Oryctolagus cuniculus: one gene and its partners. The protein of the gene in region 2 purifies or fractionates together with the protein of the main gene of each other region. This does not show direct contact. Links are inferred from orthologs where the notes say so. Each region holds a gene or a part of one and is shown on either strand. Other genes may lie near its edges.

What was found. The genes of interacting proteins can lie anywhere in the genome.
Region 1: the proteins of FYN (region 2) and SKAP1 purify together in Homo sapiens (affinity purification with western blotting; 3 studies listed by BioGRID and IntAct, with this or other methods). This does not show direct contact. The link is inferred for Oryctolagus cuniculus from reciprocal best matches to the Homo sapiens genes FYN and SKAP1.
Region 3: the proteins of FYN (region 2) and CD36 purify together in Homo sapiens (affinity purification with western blotting; 3 studies listed by BioGRID). This does not show direct contact. The link is inferred for Oryctolagus cuniculus from reciprocal best matches to the Homo sapiens genes FYN and CD36.
Region 4: the proteins of FYN (region 2) and CDC37 purify together in Homo sapiens (affinity purification with mass spectrometry; 5 studies listed by BioGRID and IntAct, counting the BioPlex papers as one, with this or other methods). This does not show direct contact. The link is inferred for Oryctolagus cuniculus from reciprocal best matches to the Homo sapiens genes FYN and CDC37.

The regions. Positions count from the first base shown.
Region 1 is NC_091448.1:24,458,741-24,462,240, forward strand, and holds part of SKAP1 (src kinase-associated phosphoprotein 1), read right to left. Parts: intron 2,387-3,500; coding exon 2,150-2,386; intron 1-2,149. UniProt on the Homo sapiens protein: Positively regulates T-cell receptor signaling by enhancing the MAP kinase pathway. Required for optimal conjugation between T-cells and antigen-presenting cells by promoting the clustering of integrin ITGAL on the surface of T-cells.
Region 2 is NC_091436.1:59,932,280-59,935,511, reverse strand, and holds the end of FYN (tyrosine-protein kinase Fyn), read right to left. Parts: intron 1,172-3,232; coding exon 963-1,171; 3' UTR 501-962; downstream 1-500. UniProt on the Homo sapiens protein: Non-receptor tyrosine-protein kinase that plays a role in many biological processes including regulation of cell growth and survival, cell adhesion, integrin-mediated signaling, cytoskeletal remodeling, cell motility, immune response and axon guidance.
Region 3 is NC_091434.1:145,409,045-145,412,544, reverse strand, and holds part of CD36 (platelet glycoprotein 4), read right to left. Parts: intron 1,890-3,500; coding exon 1,742-1,889; intron 1,029-1,741; coding exon 849-1,028; intron 1-848.
Region 4 is NC_091447.1:67,018,373-67,020,911, reverse strand, and holds part of CDC37 (hsp90 co-chaperone Cdc37), read right to left. Parts: intron 372-2,539; coding exon 87-371; intron 1-86. UniProt on the Homo sapiens protein: Co-chaperone that binds to numerous kinases and promotes their interaction with the Hsp90 complex, resulting in stabilization and promotion of their activity. Inhibits HSP90AA1 ATPase activity.

The DNA.
Region 1 (3,500 bases), on a different chromosome or scaffold from region 2:
ACACGGCAATGGTCCCAAACTCATCTTTTCTGTGGCCTCTTGCCCTCTCCTTCCGCTGTGCTGTGTCTCTGAGCATCAGCCCTCTCCTCCGTGACTCCTCTGAGAACCAAACATGGTCCATGAAAGGCCCCTTCTTGGCGCCCCAGAGGGCTGAGTGGCCGGTCCTCCACAGCTGTAACCCGACGTGGAATGTCACCTGGATATTTCCCCAGGCCTGGGCAGGAGTGAGCAGAACGCAAGCTGGCTAGGAAGACGCTGGCCAGGTTGGGGCGTGCATCTCCTTTTAGGGAGTGTTGTGAATTGGATCCATTTCTGCACCCTGCTGTTGCAATGGAGCAGACTGTGAAAGGGAAGATTCTCAGAGGAGCTGTGTTTTAATGTAGCAATTTGATTCAATTTTCCACTCTATAAAATTACCCATCACTGCTCGTTGCTTTCTAACAGACACCTTCACTCTTAATTTAACAATCCTATCGAATTCTGCCAGGGAAATTGGAAAAATTTATCACCTGTGAAATTTTATTTTCCTTTGGTTGTATCTGTTTTTGTAAAACTTCATTAACGACGATGACTTGCTGAGGAAATTATCATTTTTTTTTTTTAACTTCAGACACAAGAAATGGTTCGACCTCAACCAAGATATCATTTGCATAATAAAACACAACAAAAAGGCTGGGGAAGTCGGGACTGGCAGAAGCAGGAAGCGCTAGAAGAAGATGCACCCGCCCCTGGTCGTCCCGGTGGGTGAAGTCCCCAGCAGGGAAGGGATGTGTGTGGCCACAGCCCTGCTCCTTGGCTCAGGAACCAATGACGTGGCTTTCCCCCAGGAAGGGGCAATGCAGAACCCAGCACTGAGAGAGCCTCAGTGCAAGTTACTTGCTGAGGATGCTTTTAGCAAGCAGCCGTCTTCAGGGGCCCGAGTACTGGGTTCACCTTAGTTTCTGGGAGCATCTGGGACTGAGGCTTAAATTGCCATAAATTTAGGCTTAATTTGCATTTTGTCGCAGAGCACAGAAGTCCTGGCAAATTTCCACGGGAGCGATCTTTCTGCACGGACCACAAAGTCCAGCGCTCCTGTGGTCTAACTCCCTCACCATGAAAAGGTGCAAGCATCAGTTTTCCCAGTCTGACACCCACTGCGCTCTGCACCCATCACAGCTGCTGGTATCCCACTGGCGGGGGTGACGAGGAGCCTGGATGACTGTGCGTTTTTTTGAGGTGACGGCGATCATGCCTTTGGAAACAAGGAAATGCAGAGAGCAGACCACTGTGGCGGGCAGAGGAAGGATGCTAGGCTCATTTTTAAGAGATGTGGCTTTTTGGGGCCGGTGCCATGGCGTAGCAGGTAAAGCTACCGCCTGCAGTGCTGGCATCCCATATGGGTGCTGGTTCGAGTCCCGGCTGCTCCAATTCTGATCCAGCTCTCTGCTCTGGCCTGGGAAAGCAGTAGAAGATGGCCCAAGTCCTTGGCCCCTGGCACCCATGTGGGAGACCAGTAAGAAGCTCCTGGCTCCTGGCTTCAGATTGGTGCAGCTCCACCCATTGTGGCCAATTGGGGAGTGAACCAGTGGATGGAAGACCTCTCTCTCTTTCTGCCTTTCCTTCTCTCTCTGTGTAACTTTGACTTTCAAATAAATAAATAAATAAATAAATCTTTTTTTTTTTTTTTTTTAAAGAGATGTGGTTTTGATTTGTGGTATGTCTGAACTAAGTGGTGATGAATTGTCGGGTTTTCTGGCACTAGAAAGGTGAGCCACCACTGTATACTGTAGACTTTGACATCCTGAATTGGGAGGCAACTTTGTAGTATTCTCACAATTACACAGGAAAAAAGTTGAAACTAGAGTTTTAGAACCAATGAAATAAACCAATGGAAACCAACCTGAGTATTCACGGCTCTTTAACCTGTTGATGCATGCAATAAGTTATTCCATATGGCACAGATCAAAGACACACCCTGATCAACTTCGCCTGGCTCCCAGAGGCAGGCACAGCCTCTATCCCGGGAGTGAAACATTCCTCTGCATTTTCTTCTGCAGAGGATGAAGGTGAGATTTGGCTTCCTTTGGCGTTTTCAAAGTTCTAGTCTTCCACCAGGTCAAGAGTTTCTGAAACTAGTGCAAGACAATTAGAAGACGAAGTTTCTCACCTGGTAAGACCTCGTAAATGTCGTCTTCTTTCTCCTCTGCAGGTTCATGGATCCCCATGCCCCCCGGCAAGACAGTGGGTCTGCACTGGGGACCAGGATTTGGGGAGTCAAAACCATCAATGTCATCATACATCTCTTCCTCTTCTGCTTCTTCTTCCTCTTCCCCCTTCTCCTCCTCCTCCTCCACCTCCTCCTCCTCCTCCTCCTCTTCGCACGGAATGGTTAAGGAGCTCAGATCTGCAAGGGCAAAGATGAGAATGTAACAACCAGCGAGAAAAAGAAAAGAATAGGACAGAGAAGGAAAGAGGGGGGAGGAGGAGGAGCGGAAGGAGGGATGAGAATAAAACTTGTCACAGGGAAATGAAACGCTAGGTTAAGTGCTGTTATTTCTAATGTGGGCCTTGGTGGCAGGAAATCTACAGAAAAGGCCAGGCTCGCACTGCATCAGGTTTAAACCATCAACATAAATCCTTCCCTGCAATAAAACTTGATCAGGACGAAGCGGCTCTGGAAAGCATGGGTGTGTGCATAAGGACAGGAGGCGAAGGGAAGAAAACAGGGCAGAGGAGGAAAATGCCAGCATGCCACACGCTGCTCCTCAAGCAGAAAACTGGACGGGTGGGGGGTGGGCCTCGTCCTCCGGACGCCGGCAGCAGGGGGCACCAAGGGGGCTTCCCAGGGGAACTGAGCTGCGGGAAGCTGGTCTCCCCTCCGATCTTACTGCAGGATTGCAGATAAGTTTGGAGAAAGGGAGAGGGGAATAAATGGGTCAAAGTGGAAGAGAGAGAAAAAAAATGGGGAATGGAAAAGTAAAACAGACAGTGAGACAAGACCCCAGGGGACGGCTGAGCGGTGCAGTTACTAGGTCCTTTTGCAGCCACGGTCAGGCTGCCCTTCAAGTTTGTCTCTGCGTGGAGGATGTGGAGCTGCTGCAGCCAAGGGGAGCGGCGGGGCGGGGCAGGGCAGGGGGCCGCTGTTTTGTTTTGCTGGGGGTCTGGGAGGGTTCCTTCCCTGCCACACGGTACAGAGCGCTCTGTGGATGGGTGTGTACAGCCAGTGTCCTCCAGGGGAGGACAGGATACAGAGAGAGCGGACGTTCGTTTCCAAACCCACGCAAACTGTTTGGCTTGATTAGGCTTTTAATAAAGATTCTGCAATGATTTTCATCTGAATTCCGGTGCCACCTCATATGAGGAAAGGATCAAAGACGCATTTGTGGCTTCAACCATATGTTATTATTTTGTTTGTTTTAAAATAAAATGGAATGAATAATTTCTTCAATGTGGGATTCTGAAAGTACCACAGGGTACAGCTCAATAAAGCTGTTTCGAGTTTTATGGAGGTTTACACA
Region 2 (3,232 bases):
TTTATTAAATAAAAAAAAAAACATTCGAAACATTTCAGCATTCACATTTTTATACAAGAAGTCTGTGTGGTATCCGTCTTCCAGTTCCCTTAGTAGTATTGGCTGTTTGTTTAAATAAGCTCACTTTTCAGTTTCAAGGGAAAAAAAATCGCAGTGAGTTGAAGCAAATACCAGTAACAGAACTTGCGAATTCTTAAAAAGAGTCAAGATAACGTCCATGTACAGGGATAGTCGTGAAGGAAAAAAGCACAATCCAAGTGAAGAAAAAACAAAAAGAACATGCTTTGCAAAATCCAAAAAAATGAGACCACTGGCTTTTAGAATATCAGTTCTTTTCGATGCTGATTGTGTAGTCAGATCCTCACTGTGGGTCCTGCAGCTGTGGGTCCCGGGCTGGCCATGGTCTTACATTAGCACCCACATGATATATGTACAGGGACATACATTATATGTATTCGTATTTATAAAAAAGAACAAAAAAACCCAAACACCTGTCCCGATTGGTTTTTGTTAAAACATGAAAAAAAATTTTATTGTTTTAGACAAAGAGGCCACTTTTGGAAAATAATACTTTTTTTTTTTAGTTGAATCAGGTGAAGACAGAGTTAAAATCACATAGGATTTGCATTTTAAAAAAAGGAAAGCACTAGGATTGTTGGCACTGGAGTAACTATTTACACTGAACAGAGGTTTGGCCTTTTACATGACATCGATACAATGCATTTTCCAAAGTCTGAGAATTAACAAGGTTCTGTCTCATATGCTTCACAGAGGAGGTTCGGATTTGGGGACAAGTGTCATTAATGAGGGCCATGGAAGTTCGTCAGCCTCGGAGTCACATGCAATCTGATCCTGGACGGTTCTCGCTGCGCCTGCTCGGGGCAGCTGGCTACAGAATTGAAAGCTAAGGGGGAGGGAGGGGGAAGCCTCTGGGACAAGGCCTCTCTCTGCAGACCTGGGTCTTAGAGGTTTTCACCAGGTTGATACTGGGGCTCTGTGGCCGTAAAGTAGTCTTCCAGGAAGCTCTGCAAGTACTCAAAAGTGGGGCGCTCCTCGGGGTCCTTTTTCCAGCAGTGGATCATGAGCTCGTGCAGAGAGATGGGGCAGTCCTGCGGGCAGGGCATCCTGTAGCCGCGCTCCACCTGCTCCAGCACCTCCCGGTTGTTCATGCCTGCGAAGACAGGGGCAGTGAGAGCGGGCACCACCTCACCCAGCCTCTGGACCCTGCCCTCTGCGGGACACCACGCCACTGGGAAGGAATGCAGAACCGAACATGAGAAACCACGGGGACACAAAAGGCAACGTACTGATGACTGCGTTTCTCTCACATTCTAGAAGGGGCAAAACTGTGTGGTGGAAAGAAAGTGCATCAGTGGGTGCCAGGGAGGAGGGCAGGAAGGCTCGAGAAGGGGCGGGAGGGGTGATGGAGATGCTCTATTCGGGGCCAGCAAACTCTCTCTGCAAAGGGTCAGAGAGTAAATATTTAATATGTGTGGTTTTGTGGGCTGCATACAATCTCTCTCTCTCTCTCTCTCTCTCTTTCGATCCCCCCGCCTCCAACTTTTAAACATATACAACACAAAGACAGGCTGGGAGACAGCCCCAGCCCCTGGGTGATGGTCTGTTGACCCCTGTTCTGGGCCCTGTACCTGGTGCTGTGAATGTTTATGTTTGTCAAGACGCCCTGGATTGGATTCCTAACACTGCTGACTTTCATTGTAAGTAAGTGACATTTCAAGGAAGCTGATACAAACATATGCATAAAGCAGACAACCCTCCACCGCCACCCCCGAGGAGGGCACACTGCCCCTCGCTGACAGCAGCTCTGGGCTCTGCTCAGGAACGTCATCACTTCATTTCCCCGTGTTCTGGCTCGGCCCTCCTGCCAGCATGGCTGGGCACCATCTGGCCTGCTGACTCCACACTGCACTCAGGGTTGGTGACTTTGACAGGGAGGCAGGGTGTTTCTGAAGACCTCAGCCAGGCCATCTATCATGTGACACCTCTTTGACCCTCTGGGGAGCCGGCTGGCAGGCTGCATGGTGGTGGAGGCGGCAGTAGCAGCAGCAGCAGCAGCGGCGGCGGAAGCCATGGTGGGAGACCGCGTTGAATGCCTTGACCCCTGTCCTGACTGATGCGGGCAGCCCTCTCTAGCTTTCCTTTGCCTTTTCGCTGTTAGGGCTTCTGCCATCTCTCCACCAAAACCTCGCCTGCTCCGGCTGCTCCCTGGCCTTGAGCCTACACTCTGGAGTCTTCCCCAATGTTTGACTTGGTTAATTTACAGAAGCAAGAATCGGCTTCCAAGACCATAGGGAAACCAGGAATTCTTCCCCCACCGCTCAGGGTTCTGACCAGCAGGACAACACAACATATGCATGGAGCTGGCTCCCGTCTGCGGGAGGTGGCAGGGCTGCTGGCTGGAGCCTCGTCAGCGTGGTCAGAACACAGGGTGCTGGCCCCAGAGCGCATCTGCTCCCTGGGGAGGGGACGCTGGGCTTTTTGGATCAGTCGCCACTTTCCCTGGCTGTGCTGTTACTTTTGGAGCTGCCTGGCTCCTGGCTCTCAACCATAGCCCTGTCAGTCACCTGCTTGTCCAAACCCTTTTACGAGGCTTCCTGACTCTCTGCCATGCCATTTCTCAAAGTGATAAAATCTGTGCATTCTTTCCATTGCGTTGATGCAGCCCTTTGCTTTAATTAACTGTGAAATGACCTCACTCACATGTCAGGCCGACCGCTCGTTCTGAGACAGTCACCCGTGGCTCTCGCCTCTCCAGGCATCGTCTGCAGGTGGGTGCTCCAGGGTAGGGACACCAGCTGCATACATCCTTGGCTCAAATCCTCTGACTGCTGAGAGCTCAGGGGGTGGGAGGGAGCTGGAAGCACCCCCACCCCAGGAACCCACAGCTGCTCAGAGTGCACAAGGCAGCCTTTCCTAGCAGTCCTCTCCGCAGACAGGGTAGGGGACGTGGTGTCCCTGCACCTGCCTGTCCTCAGGGCCCAACCCCAGCAACCTCTGAATACCAGAACTTTTGGGCAGCTCCCTAGGCACCAAACTGATCTCACTGACCTCATCAGAACCCGACCTGGAGAGAAGCTGTTTACTGCTTCCATGAGAGTGCAGATACCTGTTGATCCCCCAGACTGTCCTGGGGTGTGGCGTAACACCAGGCACATCTGGTCCCACGGGTTTTGGCTGGGCAGCCCTGGCATGAGCGACAGCAGTCTCCACT
Region 3 (3,500 bases), on a different chromosome or scaffold from region 2:
ACTCTAGAACTGTCATAATTCAGCCAGTCACCACTCCTATTATATTGAGAAGATTGAATAAAACCTATGAGAGCAGTGACACATTTCTAGAATTACTTTAAATGTTATGACCTTAAGTAAGAAGTACTAAAATTAAAAACGAATTAGCCATGGTAAAGAGTTACGAGTAGTTGAGTTATAATAACTGAATCTGATTCCTTATGGCTTTCTATATTCATAATTGACTGATATGGAACGTTACAATCCTAACCACTATCTAAAGTAAAACAAAGAATTTGAGAATATAACTAATATGTACATATATAAAACCTAATGAAACTATTTTACATAATCTTCAAAATGCCATTTTCACAGCATTCGGTACTACTGGAAGGTCTGAATCACAGTCCCATCAAAAAAAGGCCTTCTGACTGCATAAATTTAGGCTAACATTTTACTTAAATGTTTAAAATTTTGTAAGAGGTCTGGAGAAGGAGAAATGACAGAATACATTGGGCAAATAGAAATATAGTATTGAACTTGATTTTGTAAGAAGGAAAAACAAAATAAAAATAGTTTTCAATGATTTGCAGACTTACAAGGTATGTTTGGACCACTTGTACATTTATAAAAGAGTGGAAACTTGATGACATTAGCATAAATTTTTTAAAATTTTCCCACTAGGAAAGCTGAATGTATGTGTGATGAAGACTTAAAATATATATATATATATATATATATATATATATGGTATGTATTTCCAGATCAACAATAGACTAACACACTAAATTACAAAGGATGCCTTGACTAAGACATTGCTTTCATCCAGCTGAAAGATAACAATATTTTTATTCATATTTGGTACTTACAGGATAAAACACACCCACTGTGGTGGTAATAGGGTATGGAACCAAACTCAAGAATGGATCTTTATAGCCCCATAGTAATTCTTTTAAAGTTCTGGTTTGGAACATAGAAGATTTTGACTTTTTGATGAGTGAATTGAGTAACACTTGAACAAATGTATTTTGATAGATATGAGGTGCAGCCTACAAAAAAGAAATTCACTATTAAGATATATCAATACAGTATCAGATCTTAACATAAAAGGATTAAGTACTATAGTTGAGCTTAATACAAACTTTAAAAAAAAAAGATACCCTTAATAGTATTGCCAAATGCTCCTAAGACTGAAAGTTTTTGTCTAATCTCTATAATATTACATTTTTTCTGCCTCAATGCCAGGCATGGAAGTAGACATCTCAAGTTTAGCACTAGGATTTTTAGCAGTATACTTTAAACCATATTCTAACCCAGCTGATTATGATTTTGCCATTTTTCTAAGTGACCCTAACTCTTGAAAATATCCCAAGAACACATTTTTTTAAAAGTGGCAAGTAGAAGTGGGTGCTTGGTGTAGTGATGATGACATATGAAAGTGCCTATGTTTGAGTATTGGCTTTGCGCGTCCCTGGAGTCAACAATGGTGGCTTGAATGGTTGTGTCCCTAGGACCCATGCGGGAGACCCAAATTGAATTTGGGGTTCTTGGTTTCACTTGGCCCAACCCCAGTTGAAGTCATTTGGGGACTGACCAAGTGGATGGGCTTGGTCTCTCTCTCTCTTTCCTTTTTTGTTTTTGCCTTTCAAGTAAAAATACACATTTCTTAAAATGGCACATAAAATCTATTGATAATTCTAGTGATGAGCTTAATTATGGTGGTTTATTTCTCAAATAACAATGGTTCTGTTTGCCTACTCACTGCGACAGCCAAATTGAGAACTGTGAATGTGTCATTCTCGGTTCCAACAGACAGGGAAGGTTCAAAGATAGCTCCATTGGGCTGCACAAAGGAAACCGTGTGGTCCTCAGGGTCCTGGGTCACATTTTCTTTGGCCAGATAACGAACTCTGAAAAACACAGAAGCGAAGTGACAAGAAAACCACATTTTTCTCCTGTGGATGTTAATTTTCTCGACAAATATTTGAGCATAGAAAATGCCAGCAATTATGCTACACAGTGGGGTGAAAATGATAAATTAGCCACTACTTGGACCTAGTAAGCTATCCAGAAGGAGTCTCGAACTTGCAAACTGGGAGTTTTCACAAAGGCCATGGGAAAGCACACAGCAGACAGAAATGTCAGCTTGGTGGGGTGGTGGTGCATATATTGGTAGCAATTCTATATAGGTGGTCCAAATACCAAACAGTAGTTAGGTAAAGAAGGGCAGAAAGTCACCTGTATAAATAAGAAATTACATGATATATCTGGGGAGATGCAAATGTTTTAGTGTGGCTGGATTATAGAGATAATGATACAAGCAAGATCTCATACATTAAAATGATCCTGAGGGCAAGGAAGATAGTAGAGAAGCTTAAACAGGGGAACAGTGAGAACATTTTCTTATATTAGAACTCTCAGAGTATAACCTCCTCGGCACTAGATTTCTCCATTATTTTCAGCACTTTAATGAGAACTAGAGATCATAAAATTTCCATTTTTAAGGGTCACAGACTAACTCCACCCCTCTCTCATATACTGAATACTTACTAGTGCTAAGCTCCTGGTTTTAACATCCGCAAAGTAACAACTGCTTTTGAGGAATGGAGTGAAGGGTGATTATTATGGAGAAAATATTTTGCAAGTATAAAATATTCAGTGAGAGGAAATGAGGTAGTCACTGCACTGTCAAATATTTGACTATGTGTTACATGAGGTAAGTAGATAACTAAGGTAAAGACTGAACAAAGCAAAAAAAAAAAAGCCGGCACGGCGGCTCACTAGGCTAATCCTCCGCCTTGCAGCGCCGGCACACTGGTTTCTAGTCCCGGTTGGGGCCCCGGATTCTGTCCCGGTTGCCCCTCTTTCAGGCCAGCTCTCTGCTGTGGCCCGGGAGTGCAGTGGAGGATGGCCCAAGTCCTTGGGTCCTGCACCCCATGGGAGACCAGGAGAAGTACCTGGCTCCTGCCATCGGATCAGCACGGTGCGCCGGCCCCAGCGCACTGGCCGCAGCGGCCATTGGAGGATGAACCAACAGCAAAGGAAGACCTTTCTCTCTGTCTCTGTCTCTCACTATCCACTCTGCCTGTCAAAAAATAAAAAAATTAAAAAAATAAAAAAAAACTGAACAAAGCAACTAGAATTTAAGGCAAACCATCCTTCATTAACTATAAATCCCCCTAGAGCACAGAGGATTAGTGTTTTATGCTTCCAAACACTGAGCCTGACACACAGCGATTTCTTGTGGAATAAACTGATTGATGGTCACAAGATTTTAAGAATTTATTTATTTGATAGGCAGAGTTAGAAAGAGAGGGAGAGACAGAGAGAATCTTCCATCCAATGGTTCACTCCTCAAATGACCACAATGGCTGGAGCTAGGCTGATCCAAAGCCAGGAGCCAGGAGTTTCTTCTAGGTCTCCCACGTGAGTAAATGGGCCCAACCACTTGGGCTCCCTTCCACTGCTTTCCCAGGCCATCAACAGGGAGATAACTGGAAGTGGAGCAGCTGGGACTTGAA
Region 4 (2,539 bases), on a different chromosome or scaffold from region 2:
GCCGGGCCCCCCAGGCAGGCTCCACACGCGCCCCGCCCCCCGCCCCCCGGCGGCCGCCCCCAGCCCCGCGGCCCGCGCACGCGCACCTTGCTGAAGCCGTCCTTGCTGAGCGTGTCCACGTTCCAGGGCAGGCTCTTCTCCTTCTTGCGCATCTCCTCCAGCTTCTGCTCCCAGCTGCGCTCCTCCTTGCGCAGCTGCTGCGCCTCGGCCTGCAGCCGCTCCAGCTCGGCCTGGCCGGCCTGGCCGCCCTCGGCCACCTCCAGCTGCTTCAGCTTGCGCTGGCACTCGGCCACCTTGCGCTTGCACTCGCGGCAGCCACGGTCCAGCTCCTCCTTCTCCTTCTGGAACTGCTCCATGCGCTCCACCCGGGCCTGCGGGCACACAGCAGCGGCTCGTCCCGGCCCCCCAGCGCCCCGCGAAGGGTCCGCGCGGCCTCTGCGCGCGCCCTGGTCTCCCAGCTTCCAGGCTCACCTACTGAGGGCACGGCCCCGCCTGGCCCACCCCCTCCCCTCCAGCCCTCTCCGCTCCCCACCGGGGCTCCCCACCGGGGCTCGGCGGTACCGCTCCACCCAGAGCTGCTAATGCGCCTCCTTCGGTCACCGGCCCCGGCCAATCCAGGCTCAGAGGTTGCCGTACTCTGCCCACGGCCCCCTCTGCCGCGCCATCTTGGAAAGTCTGGGTTCAGGTGGACCCCTGAGCCCCTCGCTGGGCCCCACCTCTCCGTGGTTCCCCTAGGCGCCCCCAGGTCGCTCCGCATGCGGCCCCTGGCGCCTCGGGGCCCAGCAGGCTACCATGGGCATTCGGGGAGCGAACCAGCGGATGTGCAAGCAAGCTCTCTCTGCCTTTCCAATGACCCCATTTTAAAAAAATGCACTTGACACACCTGGCCAGCCAAACAGCATGGCTTAGCCTTGCCTATCTTCAAAACAAAACAAAAACTATTTATTTGAGAGAGAGAGATCTGTGTGTTTGCTGGGTCACTCCCCAGATGCTTGCAGCAGCCAGGGCGGGCCAGGCCTAAGCGGGGAGCCCAGGGCTCCGTCCAGGTCTCCCACGTGGCTGGCAGGCACCTGAGTACTGGGGCCACCAGCTGCTGCCTCCTGGGCCCAGGCCCTCCGCCATGGGCTGCAGGTCACTACTGCGGCCCACGCCTGCCCACCCCGCCCACCTCAAACAGGCCCAGGACACTGCCACTCCTGGGCATCCCTCCTGGAGTGCACGGGGACCAGCTCGCTCTCTGGGGCTTACAGAAGTGACCCCCCCCCCGAGTGTGCAACTGGGTTTCCACCGGAGACTGGGGGTGCCTGCTGCCGCATCACCACAGCACCCAGCTCCACCCCTGCCACGTGGCGGGGCGACTTTGGCCGGGCCCCTCGACCCCAGGCCTTGGTCTTCCCCTCTGAGAAACGGGACACTGCGGGGCCACTGAGAGCCCGGAGGGCGGGGCACTCGGCCAACAAGGCCCCGTCCCATTGTTACCACGGCTGTCTCTGTCCACCAGAATGAGTGGCTGACTCACTGCTGGCCTGTGTCCCCCACCCCCACTTCCAGCAGAGGGCGGGCACTTGTCAGGGAGGACCCAGAGGCCTGCACCCTATTCTGATGCCCAACCAGATGGCTCGGCGAACCTCCAGGGGTCAGGGGTCAAGACGGCCCACACCACAGGTGTCTCGAGAAAGCTGCTGGCCTCTGCCCCTCTTCCCCCGCCCCGGGCCCGGGTGCCGTCCTGCCACCTCCCAGGGACTCCGGCTGGCTCTGGGTGGCAACAGGAGCCTGTCTCCTCCCGGCTTCTGTGTGCCCTCTGAGTGGCCGCCAGGGAGGCGGAGGCTAAAAATGGCTTTCAGGAGGCGGTGAGGGTGGGGGCGGCGGCCGGCCCGGCCTGGGCTTTGCGCCTCTCAGCCGGGAGGGGCTGTGACGGGCCCCCTGCTCGGAAGCCAGGGCGGCCAGAGGGGTGCGCTCGTGTCCCTGCCCCTGTGCCCTGCAGATGGGGCCACCGAGGCTCGTGGGCGCTCGGTGGCGTGCAAGCCCTGGAAGGCGCCACTGACGGCAGCTCTCTCTGGGCAAGGGGGTCAGGGAGCGGGGCACTCGTCCCCTCCCGAAATCCATGCCGTCTTTTCTGACCACAGCAAGAACTACCTATGTGACGATGCAGACAGTCACTCCTGCCCAGAGCATTATGGACTGTATAAATTACAATCTAAACAAATACACAGACACGAGAGACTCAATACGGTGGGGGCTGGCGTTGTGGGGCGGCAGGTAAAGCTACTGCCTGCAGTGCCGGCATCCCATAGTGGAGCGCGGGTTCGAGTCCCGGCTGCTCCACTTCCCATCCAGCTCCCCGCGGATGTGCCTGGGAAAGCAGCGGAACACGGCCCAAATTCTTAGAGACCAGGAAGAAACTCCTGGCTCTGGCCTGGCCCAGCCCCGGCTGTTGCGGCCATTTGGAGAGTGAATCAGCGAATGGAAGATCTTTCTCCTCTTTCTCTCTCTCACTGTAACTCTTTCAAATAAAAACTCCCAGTCGTTCCGCTCCTGA